2 linked regions of the Tamandua tetradactyla genome follow. The protein of the gene in region 1 purifies or fractionates together with the protein of each later gene. This does not show direct contact. Links are inferred from orthologs where the notes say so. Each region holds a gene or a part of one and is shown on either strand. Other genes may lie near its edges.

The links. The genes of interacting proteins can lie anywhere in the genome.
Region 2: the proteins of ARPC1A (region 1) and ACTR3 purify together in Homo sapiens (affinity purification with mass spectrometry; 7 studies listed by BioGRID and IntAct, counting the BioPlex papers as one, with this or other methods). This does not show direct contact. The link is inferred for Tamandua tetradactyla from reciprocal best matches to the Homo sapiens genes ARPC1A and ACTR3.

The regions. Positions count from the first base shown.
Region 1 is NC_135349.1:7,367,129-7,375,229, reverse strand, and holds the start of ARPC1A (actin-related protein 2/3 complex subunit 1A), read right to left. Parts: upstream 3,038-8,101; 5' UTR 2,901-3,037; intron 1-2,900. UniProt on the Homo sapiens protein: Probably functions as a component of the Arp2/3 complex which is involved in regulation of actin polymerization and together with an activating nucleation-promoting factor (NPF) mediates the formation of branched actin networks.
Region 2 is NC_135329.1:101,095,968-101,103,973, reverse strand, and holds the start of ACTR3 (actin-related protein 3), read left to right. Parts: upstream 1-4,946; 5' UTR 4,947-5,043; intron 5,044-5,198; 5' UTR 5,199-5,325; coding exon 5,326-5,369; intron 5,370-8,006. UniProt on the Homo sapiens protein: ATP-binding component of the Arp2/3 complex, a multiprotein complex that mediates actin polymerization upon stimulation by nucleation-promoting factor (NPF).

The DNA of each region.
Region 1 (8,101 bases):
TGTTCTAGAAAGCAAATTGTAACTCATAAAGAAAAAGACCTAACAGAAAGTTAAAATAAACAAATGAATTTCAAACGAGACCACTTTTATTGTTTTAAAAAATGAACTTCCAGTTACTCACTGCATGATTCTTTATCTCTGATATCAGATGCTTACCACAACAGGTTTTACTCATAGATATTCAAGATTACATGTTGTGTCACAAATATCTCCTTAATTAAAACCAATTTAGTTCAAAAGCCACATTTTATAGGCTCATTTGTTAAGTGAAACCAAATTGGTCTGTGAATTAATAATTTAATATGAATAGCTACATGCAATAAAAACATGTTTCATGCAGTTAAAAAAGAAGAGCTTTTCCATTTTTCAACTCAGCTTAATAAGCAATGTAGCAAAGGCTTCCAAAAAGGCAAACATTACTTCTAAATGGCATAGTTACTTCTAAAATTGCATTTCTAATTTTGTTATATCATTCAAGTTCTATATTTGGACATATACTCAGACCTGCCCTTCTTTTACAATCATGTGGCTATTTTAAGTCTGTCAGCCAGACAATATTCATATTTGTCAAATTTATAACTTAGTAAAAACAGCTTGTATGCCACCAAATTCAGTGAATGCAGAGAAATGCATTTTTAATAACAGCCTGAATTTTGTACCAAGAAAACGAAGCCATCTGTAGTAAAATGATAATTATAACTTCTAAACTGCGATTAATATTTAAGTGAAATCTGAAAACCTATGTCTTAATGGGGTTAGAGAGGAGAAAAAAGGGTAGACAAAAAAGTAGTGCCATTAAATATAACAAGTTTTTTACTGACTATCTTGCATTGTCCAGCACTGAGAGAATTAAAAACAATATACAGCACAGCATGATTCCAGGATTCTCCCCCATCCCCTTTCTTTACTCATCACTTTGAGTACAGAGGCATTCTGATTGTACAGTTACCCATGAGCTCTGAAGCCAAGGGGAGCTGGGTTAGAATCCTAGCTTTGACACCTAATAGATGTGAGACCCTGGGCAATTTACTCAATAGCTCTAAATCTAATTGTTTTAATCTGTAAAATGGAGATATCGCTGACAACAAGGCTGTTGGTAGGAGGAGTAAAAGAAATAACATGCGAAAGCAACTATTTTGAGCTTAGCCCAAATTACATGCTCAGTAAATTAGCTCTTTTTTCATTTTGACCCTAAGAGCTTGTGAACCATCCTTAGAAGAATGTGCCAGTTAGCTGAATTGGAAAAGTTTATGTATGCTTTAAATTCTTGACCTTGCTCCTCTGCAGCTTCAATGTATTCATACAACTGGGAATTTCGGTTGACCTGTTTGGGGTCAGATTTCAAGACTGATTCATCCTGCTTTAATTGCCCAATCCAGCAATACCAGGTACTGCAACCAGGTTACCACACCCTCCCAGCCTTTATGGCTCCAATTCCAGACATTGGCCTCCCCAGCAGACCACCTGAAACTTCTTGATACAGAACTTATTTCAGCATAGGATTAAATAGCTAGACCAAGATGAAAATACTGACACTCTCCCTCCAAAGCAGGAGTTTAAAATTTTCAAGATGATCCCTTCCTTCAATTGTGACTAGTAGATGATTAATCTCAGAGGGTCTCAAAAAACTTTGTGGTAGGAGGCCACAGAACAATTACACCCACTTCCTAAAAGGTCAAAAATACCCTCTTGACTGATATCCTCTCCTTTTTTTTTTTTTTTTTTTTAAGATAACCGGGAAGACTTAGGGCTCATCTGAAACTAAAAGGTGGATAAAATTAATAAAGGAGGGCAGAAGGAAGATAACTTAGGTAATTCAGGCAATAAGTAGAGGTAGAAGTAAGTTAAGCATGTCCGTCACGTTCCAAAGCCACAGTGTGAGAACGGATGGCTTTGTAATAAAAAATTCTAAGCTACGATTGATTAAGTGCTTTACAGGTCCCCAGCAATGCAATATGTAGAGGGATGGGGCCAGAAACATAATTAAAACTGACACCTTTCTGGTTCTTATGTCTGGGGAGAGAGGACAGGCAAGAGAGGAAGGGAAGATGGACATGTACACAACACAAAGAAGCAGCAATACTACTACATTTACTGAGCACCTACCCTGGGCGGCAAACTATTTTGGCAATTCATGCAAATAAACTCATAAGCTCCTCAGAAAAACCCTAAGAAACGGTTATCGTAATGACTGTAGGTTACCGTAATGACTGTCCTATTGCAGATGAACTAACAGAGACGCAAAGAAGCCCTCTTCCCAGGGTCACCCCCTAAACAGCGACGATGCCAGGATTGGAGATCGACTATAGGGTAGAAACGTGAAAGATGTTATCTTATAAAAGATCTCAGAGGCGGGTGCACTTGTGATTTGAGGGAGACGGGGAATTTTAAGGAACTCAAAGGGAAGATTTTTCTCGAGTTCGGGGATTCCCCCAAAACTGAAGAATGAGGTCTGCCCTAGAGAGGAGTCAAACATTCATTCCATGGGCTCCACTGTGTGTAAGAACCTATTCTAGACTTTGGAGAAAGACATGGCACTCGATTAGGGGAAGATCATCCCACTTATTATCAGTTTTATACAGACTGTGATATATGCTCACAATCGAGGTGTGAACAGGGCCCTGGGCGCGCAGGTTAAAGAGCTGTTAATTCTTTCACTGGAAGAGGCTTGGCGCTCGAAATTCTTGAGAGAAGCGATCTGTTCTTGTGAGGACCCCACGGAAAAGTGGGGAACCCCCGTGGCCCCCTCAGCAGGCCCGGGAACGGGGACCCAACCCGCCCCTCAGCCTCCGGGCCCAGCGGCCCAAGTCCCCGCCTCGCCGCCCCCTGGGCTAAATCCCCGTGGACAGACCGAGCAGAGGTGGCCAACAGCGCCAGAAGCTCGCCCCCCTGCCCTTTACCTGAGGTCGGGGTAGTCTGGACGGCCGCGGAGCGGAAAATTCGCGGACTCTGGTCAGTCGACGCGAACAGGCTCCGGCGCGCGCGGGCGGAGACCGAGGCCGGGAGGGAGCGGCTGACAGATCCCGGAAACGGCCACAGCGCCTGCGCACCGCGGCCAAACGGGCGGTCTGCGCACGCGCACAGCTCGGTTGAGCGTTCCGGCGTTGGGGTAGGCGGCTGCCGAGGAGCGGCGCCACAGCACCGCCTGGAGGTGGCAGCGAGACAGCTGGGCGCTTTTACTCCTCGCGGAAGATTTTCTCAGACTCGCAAGCCGAGATGTGGAACCTTGGGGGCTTCCCAAGTGCTTTTGTCGAACACAGGAATTAACTGAGAATTGGAGTTTTTCGAACCATGTGTGCCTGACGAACGAATACGTTTTTCTTCTTTCGGAGACCGCCCCCCCACCCCACCCCAACTCCAGTCAAGGCCAGTGGACCTGTGCTCGGCTCCCTGCGGCGCTTGTGTGCTCCAGGTCCCTCTGGCCTCGCTGGGCCAGGGGTCGCCGCCTCCGCCTTGTTCCCTCTTGGAAAGCCTCTGAGGCCCTCTGCCCGGAGCTTTAAAAACTCAGCCCTTCCTTGGTCAGAATCACTTGCTGTTTGTGATTGGAAGTCCAAGATGATACCAAAGGAAAGAGAAGTCTGAGGAACTAAGCACCACCAACCTCCTCCCCAAAACGTGGGAAGACTGTGCTTGCCGTGCAGCTGCAGCTTCTGAGAAATAATCCTGGTGCAAAAAGATGCCGCCCTTGAAGCCCTGAAAGTTCTGGAGCAGCACTCCTGTCCTCTGTGCCGCTAAAGGTTGCTAAGTGCTTATTGCCTTCTCACTGGTGGTTTTCATGTTTGACCCCACGCTTGATGGTGAGGTGATGTTTACAAAAAGGAAATTTGTTGAGCTCCCTATTTCAGAACCACACTATTAGGTTCGTTGGGTTAGTTAGTCCGGCTGTTCATGTACCACTAATGAACTGGAAGTCATTGGTTTTACGTTGTCCTATGGCTACAAAGTCTTTGGTCATAGGGGAATCGAGGACAGAGTAGAAAGATTTTAAGATTAATCACCCCTTCGAGAGGCGATCACCATATTAGCAAAGGAAAGATGGCATTCATGGGAAACACGGATTCATTCATCATGTGCCTGCAAGTTACCTAAACTGGTCCACGATTATGTTGAGTTGGTACCCACAGTCAAGTATCAACAATGTTCTAACTAGATTCCACCTTCTTACAAAGGACAATTTCTTCTTTTTAGGAGTTTATAATCTAGGAGAGAAGAATAACATACAAATGAACAAAAACAGACTCTTTATGATAATAACAAGAAATGTTAGGCCTAGAAAAATGACAGACACATTTAATATTAATCTTTGGTTCTATCTTTTAAATCACCATTTTGCATTGTAGCCTCAACAGAGGTTACTGCCTGAACAGTTACCACTTGATGCATTTTTGTAGATGGTAGCTTTAAAAGGGCCTTTATAGATTTAACCACTTTATTCTTTAACTGAGAAAGTGGACTGGCCTCCTGACACCTATTGAACCCCATTATGCCCTGGTAGAGAAACCATTGGAGTTCCTAGGAGTATGAGTTATTTTTAATGTTTTTTAGATTTGTACAGTTTTTAATAACACTGATTTATTATCCAAAAGGAAGCCTCTGCCTTTTAAAAAATTAGTAGCAAGAAAGGCAGTAAGAGGTGGGAGAAAGAGAGGCATTAGACACTGCTATGTGATAATTTTGTTTGCCCTATTGGTTTTTTCGGTGTTGGATTGAATTGGAATTTGGTTAAGATTCATCAAATAGTTAATGAGTATTCACTCATTAAATAATAAATAATGCCAAGTATTGTGTTAAACACTTCATGGACTGTACAGAAGAGTTGACTAAAATCCCACTGTCTTTAGGAAACTTAGACTAGCGTAAGACCACTTCATGAACAATTTTAAATATAAGAAAATTCACAGTACCTCAGACTTGGAAGGTCCTAGTTATGACCATGTTTTCCTTTAAGTCCTTTACAGATTTATAATAGCTACTTTACTGTTTTTATCTTTTTTTAAAAATTTTTTTAAATTAATTTTTAAATTTTTAAAAAAATATGACAAGAAAGAAAAAAACGTTCTTGACATGTAATCATTCTGTTCTATGTATATAATCAGTAATTCACAATATCATCACATAATTGCATATTCATCCTCATGATCATTTCTTAGAACATTTGTATCAAATCAGAAAAACAAAAAGACAACAGAAAAAAATTATACATACCGTACCCCTTACCCCTCCCTTTCATTGATCACTAACATTTCAATCTGTTTATTTTAACATTTGTTCCCCCTATTATTTATTTTTATTCCATATGTTTTACTTGTCTGTTGATAAGGTAGATAAAAGAAGCATCATACACAAGGTATTCACAATCACACAGTCACATTGTGAAAGCTATATCATTATACAATCATCTTTAAGAAACATGGCAACTGCAACATAACTCCATGTTTTCAGGCAGTTCCCTCCAGCCTCTCCACTACATCTTGAATAACAAGGTGATAGCTACTTAATGCTTAAGAATAACCTCCAGAATAACCTCTTGACTCTGTTTGGAATCTCTCAGCCATTGACACTTTATTTGTCTCATTTCGCTCTTCTCCCTTTTGGTCGAGAAGATTTTCTCAATCCCTTGATGCTGAGTCTCAGCTCATTCTACGATTTCTGTCCTGTGTTGCCAGGAAGGTCCACACTTCTGGGAGTCATGTCCCATGTAGACAGGGGGAGAGCAGTGAGTTTGTTGTGTTGGATAGAGAGAGAAGCCACATCTAAGCAACAAAAGAGGTTCTCTTGGGGGTGACTCTTAGGCCTAATTTTGAGTAGGCTTGACCTATCCTTTGTGGGATTAAGTTTCATAAGACTGTTCTTATCTTTAAATGACGTTTGTCTGAGTTATCTCAGAGAGTCTTTTTTTATTGGTTGCTTTTTTTTTACCATGCTTCTTTGTAAGTCTAATAATTTGTTATTGTGTATATTGGATATTGTGAATGATCCATTGTTGAGGCTCTGAATTCTGTTATCTTCCTCTAAGGAGTGTTGATATTTGCTCTAACAGGCAGCTGCTTATTGTATGATCATCTTTAATCTGTGGAGGCTTGGTGTCTTAGTTTGTCAAAGCTGCTCTTACAAATACCATACAATATATTAGCTCATGGTTTTAAGGCTTGTAATGTTTAGGTTTATATGTCACCTTGGCCAGGTTATGATACCCAGTTGTCTGTTCAAGAAAACACTGGCTTGTTACAGAGAGGACATTTTGTGGACTTAAAACATTAGTAACTTGATTGCATTTATGGCTAACTACATTTACAATCAACTAAGAATTTCTTCAGCAGTGAGAAATATTTTATCCAACCGGTTGAAGCTTTAAAAGGAGAAGTGCTAACTTCAGTAGTCAGCAGAGAGAATTTTCATCTGCACTTTAGCCAGCTGGCTTCTCCTGGGGAATTCATCGAAAACCTTCATTGGGGTTACCAGCTTATAGCCTGCCCTATGGAATTTGGACCCATGCATCCCCACGCCTGTGTAAGACACTTATATAAAATTGCATATTTATAGATATCTCTGTTGGTTCTGGTTCCCTAGAGAACCCTTAATTAATACAGCTTTGATACCAGAAGTGGGGCAGTCATTGAGAAGCAGAATTTAAAAAATGGGCTTTTAAAATTGGTTCTGGGTCTTTGTAATTGGTTCTTTACTCTGTTTAGATTCACAGGCACTCATGACTATATTTCCGGTAATCAGTAAAGCACTGACCATCCATGACATGAATTAACAATAGAGATACACAAAATATCACCACTGAATACGGCTACGCATGTGCTTAGAAGAGGCAAGGCTCTGGATGAAAGTGTCTTTGACACCTTAACAGAGTTTTGTGGAGTTAAAAGGTATCGTGATGTTGACTGTTTGTTCCTAAATACATTGGATACAATTACAAATGAAAGTGATGAACTGAAGTTTTCAAATTTGCAACTCATGCACTGCAGGAAAGATATGCAAGTATCTATGTGTGTCCTGAAAGAAAATCTTATTTCCTGTAGCTGCAGATTTGAGAGTTCTGAAAACCAGGCCTAGAATCTCACTGCGGGAGTGGCAGAGTTAGTGTAAACTAAATTCCCAGTTTTGCAGGGTGTCTGCTGTTTAATTAAAGGCATTAATTGGAAATCAATGGGATCCTGAAAATTGGAATGGGGACATATGGGTTGATAATGATGGCAGTGGAGACGTTGAAACCCTAGATTCTGATGAGTCTTTGCTAGAAAAACCTGTAGTGGTCTGCCTTGAGGGGACAGCCACTGGACCGCCAGCCTGCCTTGAGGAAACAGCTTCCAGTCTGCTCTGAGGAATCTGCCATCCAGCCCCCACCTGGAGAGATATAAACCATACAGTTCCTGATAAATCCATAACTACCACTCTTAAGGAAACAGCCCTCAGTCCTCTGTCTGGAGTGATTAATCCTTGTTTCACCAGTTGAAACTGCAAAAGAATACTCTGAGGTAATTGGCTTGAAAGACACTTCTAATTCCTTTCTTGACCCACCCCCGTCTACCCCTCTTTCCTTCAAGACCTATAACTAGATTAAAGTCCCAATAAGCCCCCAAAAGTGATGTACAAAGTGTGACCCATGAGGAGATATACTCTACTCCAAAAGAACTGCGTGAGTTTTCCAATTTATATAGACAGAAATCAGGGAATATTTGTGGGAATGGATATTAAGGATGTGGCATGATGGTAGAAGGAATATAAAGTTGGATCAGGCTGAATTTATTGATGTGGGCCCACTAAGCAGAGATTCTGGATTCAGTGTTGTAGCTCAAGGGATAAGAAAGGGCTTTAACAGTTTGTTTGGGTGGTTGGCTGAAACTTGGATCAAAAGGTGGCTGACATTACTTTCGATCAAATTGCCAGAACTGCCCTGGTACAAGGTACATAAGGAAACCCAAACGCTTAGAGAGATTGGAATGTTAGAGTGGATTTATCGTGGAAGATCTGCTCACCCACCCTAGGAATGTCCAGAGGACACACCTTTTACCAGGACTGTGAGGAATTAATTTGTGAGACTAACTCCATCTCTCTGAAGAGCTCTGTAGTTGTCTTTTATTACTGTGGGAAC
Region 2 (8,006 bases), on another chromosome or scaffold:
ACCCCCAGAAAACCTCTTCTGCTGCAAAGATGTGCCCTCTCTCTCTAAGCTGACACAGCAAGTGAACTCACTGTTCTTCCCCTCTATGTGGGACATGACTTCAGAGGGTGTAAATCTCCCTGGCAACGTGGGACAGAAATCCCGGGATGAGATGGGAACTGACATCAAGGGATCCAGAAAACCTTCCCCAAGAGAGAAATGAGAAAAAAATAAAATATTAGTGGCTGAGAGATTTCAAATAGAGCTGAGAGGTTATTCTGGAGGTTATTCTTATACATTAAATAGATATTCCCTTTTTTATTTTATGGTGTACTGAAGTGGAGAGAGGGAAGTACCTGAAACTGTTGTGCTGTGTTCCAGTAGCCTTGTTTCTTGAAGATGATTGTATAATGATACAGCTTTTACAATGTGACTATGATTGTGAAAATCTGTGTTTGATGCTCCTTTTATCTAGGACATGGACAGATGAATTAAAAATGCACAAATAACAGAGGGAACAACGTTTAAAATAAATTGGCTAGATGGAAATACTAGTAATCAATGAGAGGGAGGGGTAAGGGAAATGGTAAGTACGAATATTTTCTTTTTTCTTTATTTTTCTGGAGTGATGCAAATGTTCAAACAAATGATCATGGTGATGAATACACGACTGTGTGATGATATTGTGAGCTACTGATTGTACACCATGTATGGAATATTTATAAGTTTGTATATTGTTTTATCAATAAAAATATTAAGAAAAGAATTAAAAAAAGAAAATATATATGTTAAAATGATAAAAATGCAAAAGAAAATAAACAAATATCCAATATAGTGTCTTTAGTCCACCTTTCTCATAAATTCATAGGTCTATTTGTAAAAGAAAAGTGTAAATACAGAAGATTTGAATAACACAACACATATATACACAGGTATATATCTGTTTACAGCTATGAGGCTTTGTGCTAAAATCAGGGATTGATTAATCTGGAATTATTAGAAAAATTCTCATTAAAGCAAAAAATAAAATTTAAACTGCTATACTGTAACATTGCACAAGAGACCCTAGACTATGCAATAAGAGAAGACAACACAGTAAGAAAAGCCCATATTGAAAAAAAAATGAACCATTCACTATATAAAGATAGTTGATGGGAAATTAGAAAAATCCAAGCTACTCTACTGAAAAACTGCTAAAACTGATAAGAGCTCACCAAGTTAGCCAAATATCAGGTCAGTATATAAAAAGCAATTGTTTTCTTATAAAATCAACTCTCATTGCATATACATAATGATATATATATATATACATATATAAAAAGATCCCATTGACAACAGTAATAATAGCAACAACAAACAGGTACTGAAATATACCTAAGTGGAAATACGCAACCCTTTAAGGAGAAAATCATGAAACTTTACCCAAAGACTCAGAAAAAGTGGAGGGACAGGCGATCTAAATTAATGGAGCCACACATTTGTTCCTAAAGAAAACATTAAAATACTTAAAGGTGTTGACTATTCTCAAATTATCCTAAAAATTCATTGCAGTCCCAATCAGAATCCTACTAGGATAGTTTTATGCTTTTCTTTGAATTCTTACATGTTGTTTAGATCTTTCAAAATTAGAATATTCAAAAAAAATTAGAATGTACATTAGAAGTGGATAAGGGCTTGACAATCAAGGGGGAAATAGGACTGCAACTACATAATGGAGGCAAAGAAGAGTTTTCCTAGAATACAGGAGATCTTCTAGGGTGTCTCTTAGTACTACCATGCCCTGTGATTACAGTTAATGGAAAACTGCAATAACCCAATCCAGGCAAGAGTACCAATGGCCCAGAAACTTCAGGAATGAAGGTCTGGATCACCCCACTAGGCAAAAAACCATGGCCAGCTTAAGTGCTTGCTGAGGGTAAAGGGAACATGGAATGGGTAGGAGAAGAAGGTAGTGATAAATATGAACTACAACCATGTGACCAGTTACAGAACCAAGGACTGTGATTGTATGAATATTTATCCCTGTTTTGAGTATGTTTGCATTTGCGCATGAGCAAGTATCTTATTTTCCTCTTATGATATGACATAAGTTGTATTGCTCATGTTATAGTATTTAAGTCATAGAATATGAAGTTTAAGAGTGAATTTTACCTAAGGAGTTGCACCTTACTCTGGAGACATGTAGTACATTTCTGGTTGTATGGAGGACAGTTGAGTATTGTTAGGCAAAACATTTGTCTGTTATTGTGTTCTATTTGGAAATTAAATGGGTTTCAATGTGATGTGTATAGCTGCCAGGTTGACATAGGGTGAACTGTTATGGTTAGGTTCTCGTGTCAACCTGGCTAAACGTCCATACCCACTTGTCTGGTTAGGCAACAGACTGTTGCCACAAGGATATTTCATGGGTGGTTGATAAACCAGAAGGCTGGTATATTAAATCATCAGTCAGTTGATTGCATCTGTGCCTGATTACATCTGTGATCAACTACAGTCTCCCACAATGAGTTAATCCAATCAGTTGAAGGCTTTTAAGGAAGAAGAGAAACTCTTTCACTGCTTCTTCTGCCAGCTAGCCTTTCCTGTGGAGTTTGTCCAGACCCTTCATCAGAGCCACCAGCTTCACAGCCTGCCCTGTAGATTTTGGACTCTTCCATTCCCATGGTTGTGTGAGACACCTTTATAAAGCTCATATTTACAGATCTCACCTGTTGGTTTGATTTCTCTAGAGAACTCTTATTAACATACACACAGTACATTTTAGTATTTTTAAATGTTAATTCTGGGATTAATTCTCTGAGGCGTCTGGTTTTTTTTTTAAAAGTTGTAAACCAACTGGTGATATGAGAGATTTTTTTGAGCATTAGCTCTTCTATTATGAAGGTTTGCCCAAGTTGAATGCAAATTGAAGGGTCCTCCCTGTCTTTTCTGGGCACATGTCCTGTTCTGGGCTTGTGCTTGCTAGTGGCTTAGAGGTTCTCATGTTTACAGGAGTTTCAGTGTCTCTCTACTTTCCAGGAGACAGATTTTCTCCTTCTTAGGTGTTCCACCATGGAACTCAAGCCTTTGCCTCATGCTGTTTTGGTCAATGGTTTCTTATACTCCTTTCCAAGTGTGTCTCAAGCTGCTTTTGCCTGGAGGGCAAATTCTGGGAGAGTAAGGTGCACAGTACAGGAGCTGTTTTTCTCAGCTGCAGAGACCCACAAAGGGAGAGCTAGCTGACTTCGAATTGTCCTGGAGAAGTATGATGAGGAGCCAGGAGCTTTTTCCATGGCTCCCCAGAGGTGTGCTTTCTTGAGCTGCCCAGTAAATGTAGCCCTTTAACCTCTTCCACAGCTCTGAGCAATCATCCTGTTTGTCTCCCTGACAGTCTTTGTTTGAGGTTGATTGGAAAGACGGCTGCCCCTTAGTGATCCAAAGCTGTTCAACAAAAGCAGTGATCAGCAATTGGCCCATGTCCACCCTGGATCATGAGGTAGAATTTTTATGTCCTTTTCCGGCACCAGCAAGCCATGGCTGGGGCTAGATCCCATTCTTGCCAGCCAAAAGAGCAGGACTATAACCACTGTGGGAGAGGGGAATTTACTGGTATTTTCTGTAACTCGCCAGTGTCTTCCTCCTGCTCTTCCCTAGATGTGATATAGTGTTCTATAGTTGATACACTGTTCCTGCCTGTATAATAGTTGTTCTGGTGGAGGGACTGATTCCTGGAGCTTCCTATTCTGCCATCTTCCCACAATCAAATATTTACTTAGCTTTTAGAAGCCATTTCCTCAGAGAAGACGTCCCTATTTTCCACTTTCCCTCAATCTCTCATCCTTTCCCCCATTTCTCACAATCTCTGGCTTCCTTTCTATTGCTGTTAACACTTTTTTGGGGGGTGGGGGGCATTCCATAACTGTAAAGTTGATGAGAGCAGAGACTGTTCTTTGCCTATTGAATATTCGGGATCAGCACATTCCACTATAGGGTAGGTGAGCAATAATTACCTGTGAAATGAATGATTGAAAAACCCGCATTTCATGCCCCAGGTCCACCTAACACCAGACGATGTGATCTTCTGGGGCCTCATTTAAGGAAATCCAGGATAGTTTATCAAGATAAACTTGGTGGAGGGAAAAGTTATCATGAAACTTCTAGGTTCCAAAATCTGCACATCAGACCTGGGAACTTGATAGAAACGCAAATTCTCAAGCCCACTCCAAACTAACTAATCAGCAAACTCTGAGGGTGTCGACCAGCAAGCGTGGTCCCTCCAGGTGATTCTGATGAATACAGTTTAAGAACCACTGATTCAGGCTTTCCAGTTTTTCACTTTTATTTTAAAAATTTTTGGTTTTTAATCCCTAATATTATTCTGCAAGTAGAATCTTACTACTCCATATTAAATCCTTTCCCATCGTTCCTTCACAAAGGTCTATCATTGTAGAGTATATTACATAGAACAAATTCTTGGGATGGTTGCCGTCTTTGCAGCCACAGGCCTGCCCTCTGGATAGTCTACAATCTAAAGCCCTATAACAATGTAGAAGTGTAACTGAATAAAAGCTCCGAACAAAGGCAGAGTAACAGCCATGGTGCAAGCCTTTGTTGCTCAGTTTCCTGATTGCTCTACCTTTCTGAAATCCCTTCTCTTCACACGGAAATGCAGCCACTCAAATCCTAAGAATAGTTGTGTGCCGCTGACAACGTTTTCAATTAGGCGATTTTCCCCTGAGCACTGGCGAAGACATTCGGGATTGCGGGATGCACCTCCACATCTTCCCAAATCCAGCACAGGAATTACTGAAACTAAATGGAAGGGTGGAACCGAAAAGCCCCTTCAAGCTTCAGAAGGAGAACTGGTGGCTCGGCACACTTCCTCTACTCTCTTGGAAAACCCGTAGTGGCACTCGCTAGCGTCAGGACGGGAGCCGCGGCCGGTGGCCGGTTGCCCACTGCGCATGCTCCGTCGCCCCGCCCGCTCGGAGCAGGAAGAGGGAGCGCTCGCGGCCTGGTCCTGGCCTGGCCCGGGCGTCGGCACCGGCGGCCATCTTGGTTTCCCGGGGAAAGGCGGTGTGAGGGGTAGAAGTTGTAGGGTGGGGGCAGGAGTGAGGGGGAGGGAAAAGAAAGGGGGAGGAGGCCGCGGCGGGACAGGGCGGGGACTGCCTGCTTGGGTTGCGGAAGTGGTAGCCGCTGACCGAGACTGCCGCCTTCTCGCTACTGCTCTGGCTTCCCAGTTCCACCCGGACGGAGAGGGCAGCCCGGCTGTGAATGGTCAGATAGCCCCCATCTCGCGCCGCCAATCCCCGGCCCCAACCAGCACGGAGCAGACGCCGGCAGTGGCAGCAGCAGGCGAGGAGGAAGATGGCGGGACGGCTGCCGGCCTGTGTGGTGGACTGTGGCACTGGGTAAGGGGGCTGAGAAAGGAGGGAACGAAGGGGCTTGACGACCGGGGGTGGGGAAACTGAGGCGGAGGAAGGAAAAATGGCGGGGGAGGGAGGAGGCCGGAGACTGGGAGATGAATGGTGCGGGGAGGTGCCGCTGCCGGCTGTGTCAGTCGCTGCTCCTTGGGTGGCGAGGGGTGGGGCTCGGAGCCAGGGGGCCTCCCTCACCCGGTCGCTTCACCCTCCTGGGATCTCAGCGGGGGTTCGGGGCTGCTGAATCCCCGGGGAGCGTCTTCCTTCGCGCGACCCGCTCCTACCCCTTTTCCCACCTCGCGGACGCTGCTGGCGGGCGGTGGTGGAGGTGGTCGCCTAGCCTGGCCCTCCCGGGGTTCCTTTGCCTCCGCGCCCCACCCTGCCTGTGGGCGCCGGGACGGAGGGGACAGAGCACGGGGACCCGCTTGGAGGGAGAAGAGAGAAGCGTCCCTTGGAGGTTTTGCAAGATCGCTGAGACAACGCTGCCCCGGGTGTGGGTGGGGATAGGGAAGGATCGGACTCTTAAAATGGGAACCTAGAACGGGGCTTTCATTAGACTACCCACCTCCCCTTCCTTTTCGACTCCCGGTCTTTTCCATCTCCCTTTGCGTCTTTACGGGTGAACCAAGTCACATTTTAATTTGAGGGAGAAAGATGTCATGTGTTACTTCTGCTTCAAAAAAGTCCCTCAGTGAGCAAGCGCGCTACAACTTCCTTAGTTTTGTCAAAGCCTCTTCCTGCTTTCAGTCTTTTATACCCTTATAAGGTAGTTTTTCGTTTCCAACCTGAGCATATTTTATCAGATCTTTGAAAATTAAGCAGGTTTTGAATGGACTGAATTACCGGTGCTAGGTGTTAATTTATGTGAACTTAAAAAAATGTATGTTCCACTGGGGAAGAGGTAAGGGGGACACCAAGGAAAATAAACCATTAAGTTGTATGCTTTCTGTGGTGGTGACTTGAGAAAAAAGGTATAGAGGTTATTACAAAACCGTTGTGCTTAATTTTCAAGGAGTTGATTATGATAAATTTGTAGTTCCCTTTGTATTTTAAAGCGTTCTAGCACAATGTATAGTTAGTTATGTAGAGAATAGACTTTATATTTTTAAAATGTAGACTTTTATGTTAAATATTGAACTATCTTTTTTATTTGTGATGCTGTATTATTACACCTCTTTATTTCTGAAAACAGGCTACATTTTAGGGGATAGGGAGGTATTAAAAGGGAGGATTACCAGCCTTCTGCCCCCCCCCCCCCGTTTATTATTCAGCATATCATTAAAAGTATTGGTGGGCCACTCTTACTTGCTATTATATGAAATTTCATCTGTTTTCAAGCTCATAACTTAATGCTAGTGTGGTAATTTCCAAAGATCCAGCAGCACACAGGGAAACAACTGACATCTTAATATTTTCGCTTGGAAACATCACCTAGTTTAGCGATGGCACTTCTCTGTATTTGTTTGATGGGCAGTTTATTAATGTTAACTTCTTCTTAAGGCAGACTTATTTTCCTGATGAGCATTTTTTTTTCCTCCCTACTTAGCCTAAATTGTGAGTAAGTAGTTTTATGTTTAGGGTCAGTTTTAAAATAAGATTTGGCTTGACAGAGTAGGTTTCTTTTCAGGTGTGTTTTGTTAAAGTGAAAAACACTGCCTCATAATTAATATGTGATGATTTAGGAATAACTGGCGTATCAATAAAAATAATGATTATATCACTGTTGAATAGCATGCCAACATCTTAAGTAATAAATTACTTTTTCTTTCTCCATCTCCACTTTTGAAATACAGTTTTTGTTATCTTTGAAGTAGTATAGTAGGTTAACTGACCTTACGAGACCTCATTTCTGAAAGGGCCATCTTAAATTTAAACAAATGCTGAATAATTAGGAATGGGTTTAGACTATACCTAGCTTATTTCTATTCCACTATAGTACATTTGTCACTGCTCTTCTTTCGGTCACTAGACAAGGAGAGGTAGCTAACTGGACACTCATGATTTGAATGGAACTGATTAGGAGTCCCACTGTCCCTTCATTATCTTTTACCATCTGCTACAGTAAAAAATTCCGCCCTAAGAAATTAATTTCTTTTGGTTCCCACAAGGCATTCTTGGTCTTTCCAGTTGCCTGTTGAATCCAGTTCCTGGAAAGTTACACCTTTGGCTTCATTAATGTATTGAAGATAGCTAGTTGAGATTATGATAAGCATCTCTAAGTAAGGCCTTAACAGGGATTTTTATGTTCCAGAATACTGTGGTCCCCAAATACAAACTGTATTTAATTATCTGTGTGTTCCTTTATGCTTTAGAGAAGGCATTCACCTCTTGAGTCACTAATTACAATTAACCACTTAATGTAAATGAAAAATTATAACCTGAGTCAAGTTGCTCATTCCATTTCATTATATAATTTAGGCAAAAATTGGCAGAAAAATTATTATGAAACTTGTTAGTCTTAGGATAAGAAAAGCTGTGTGATTTAGGAAACATGATTATCAAAACAAAATTAGGGATCCTCCAGCAAAACTCAACATAAGTAAAAGAATTACGTAGGCTCATCATAAAAGAAAATACTTATTTTGAAAAGTATTCAGAAAGAAGTACTCCCTTCACGTTGATACACAT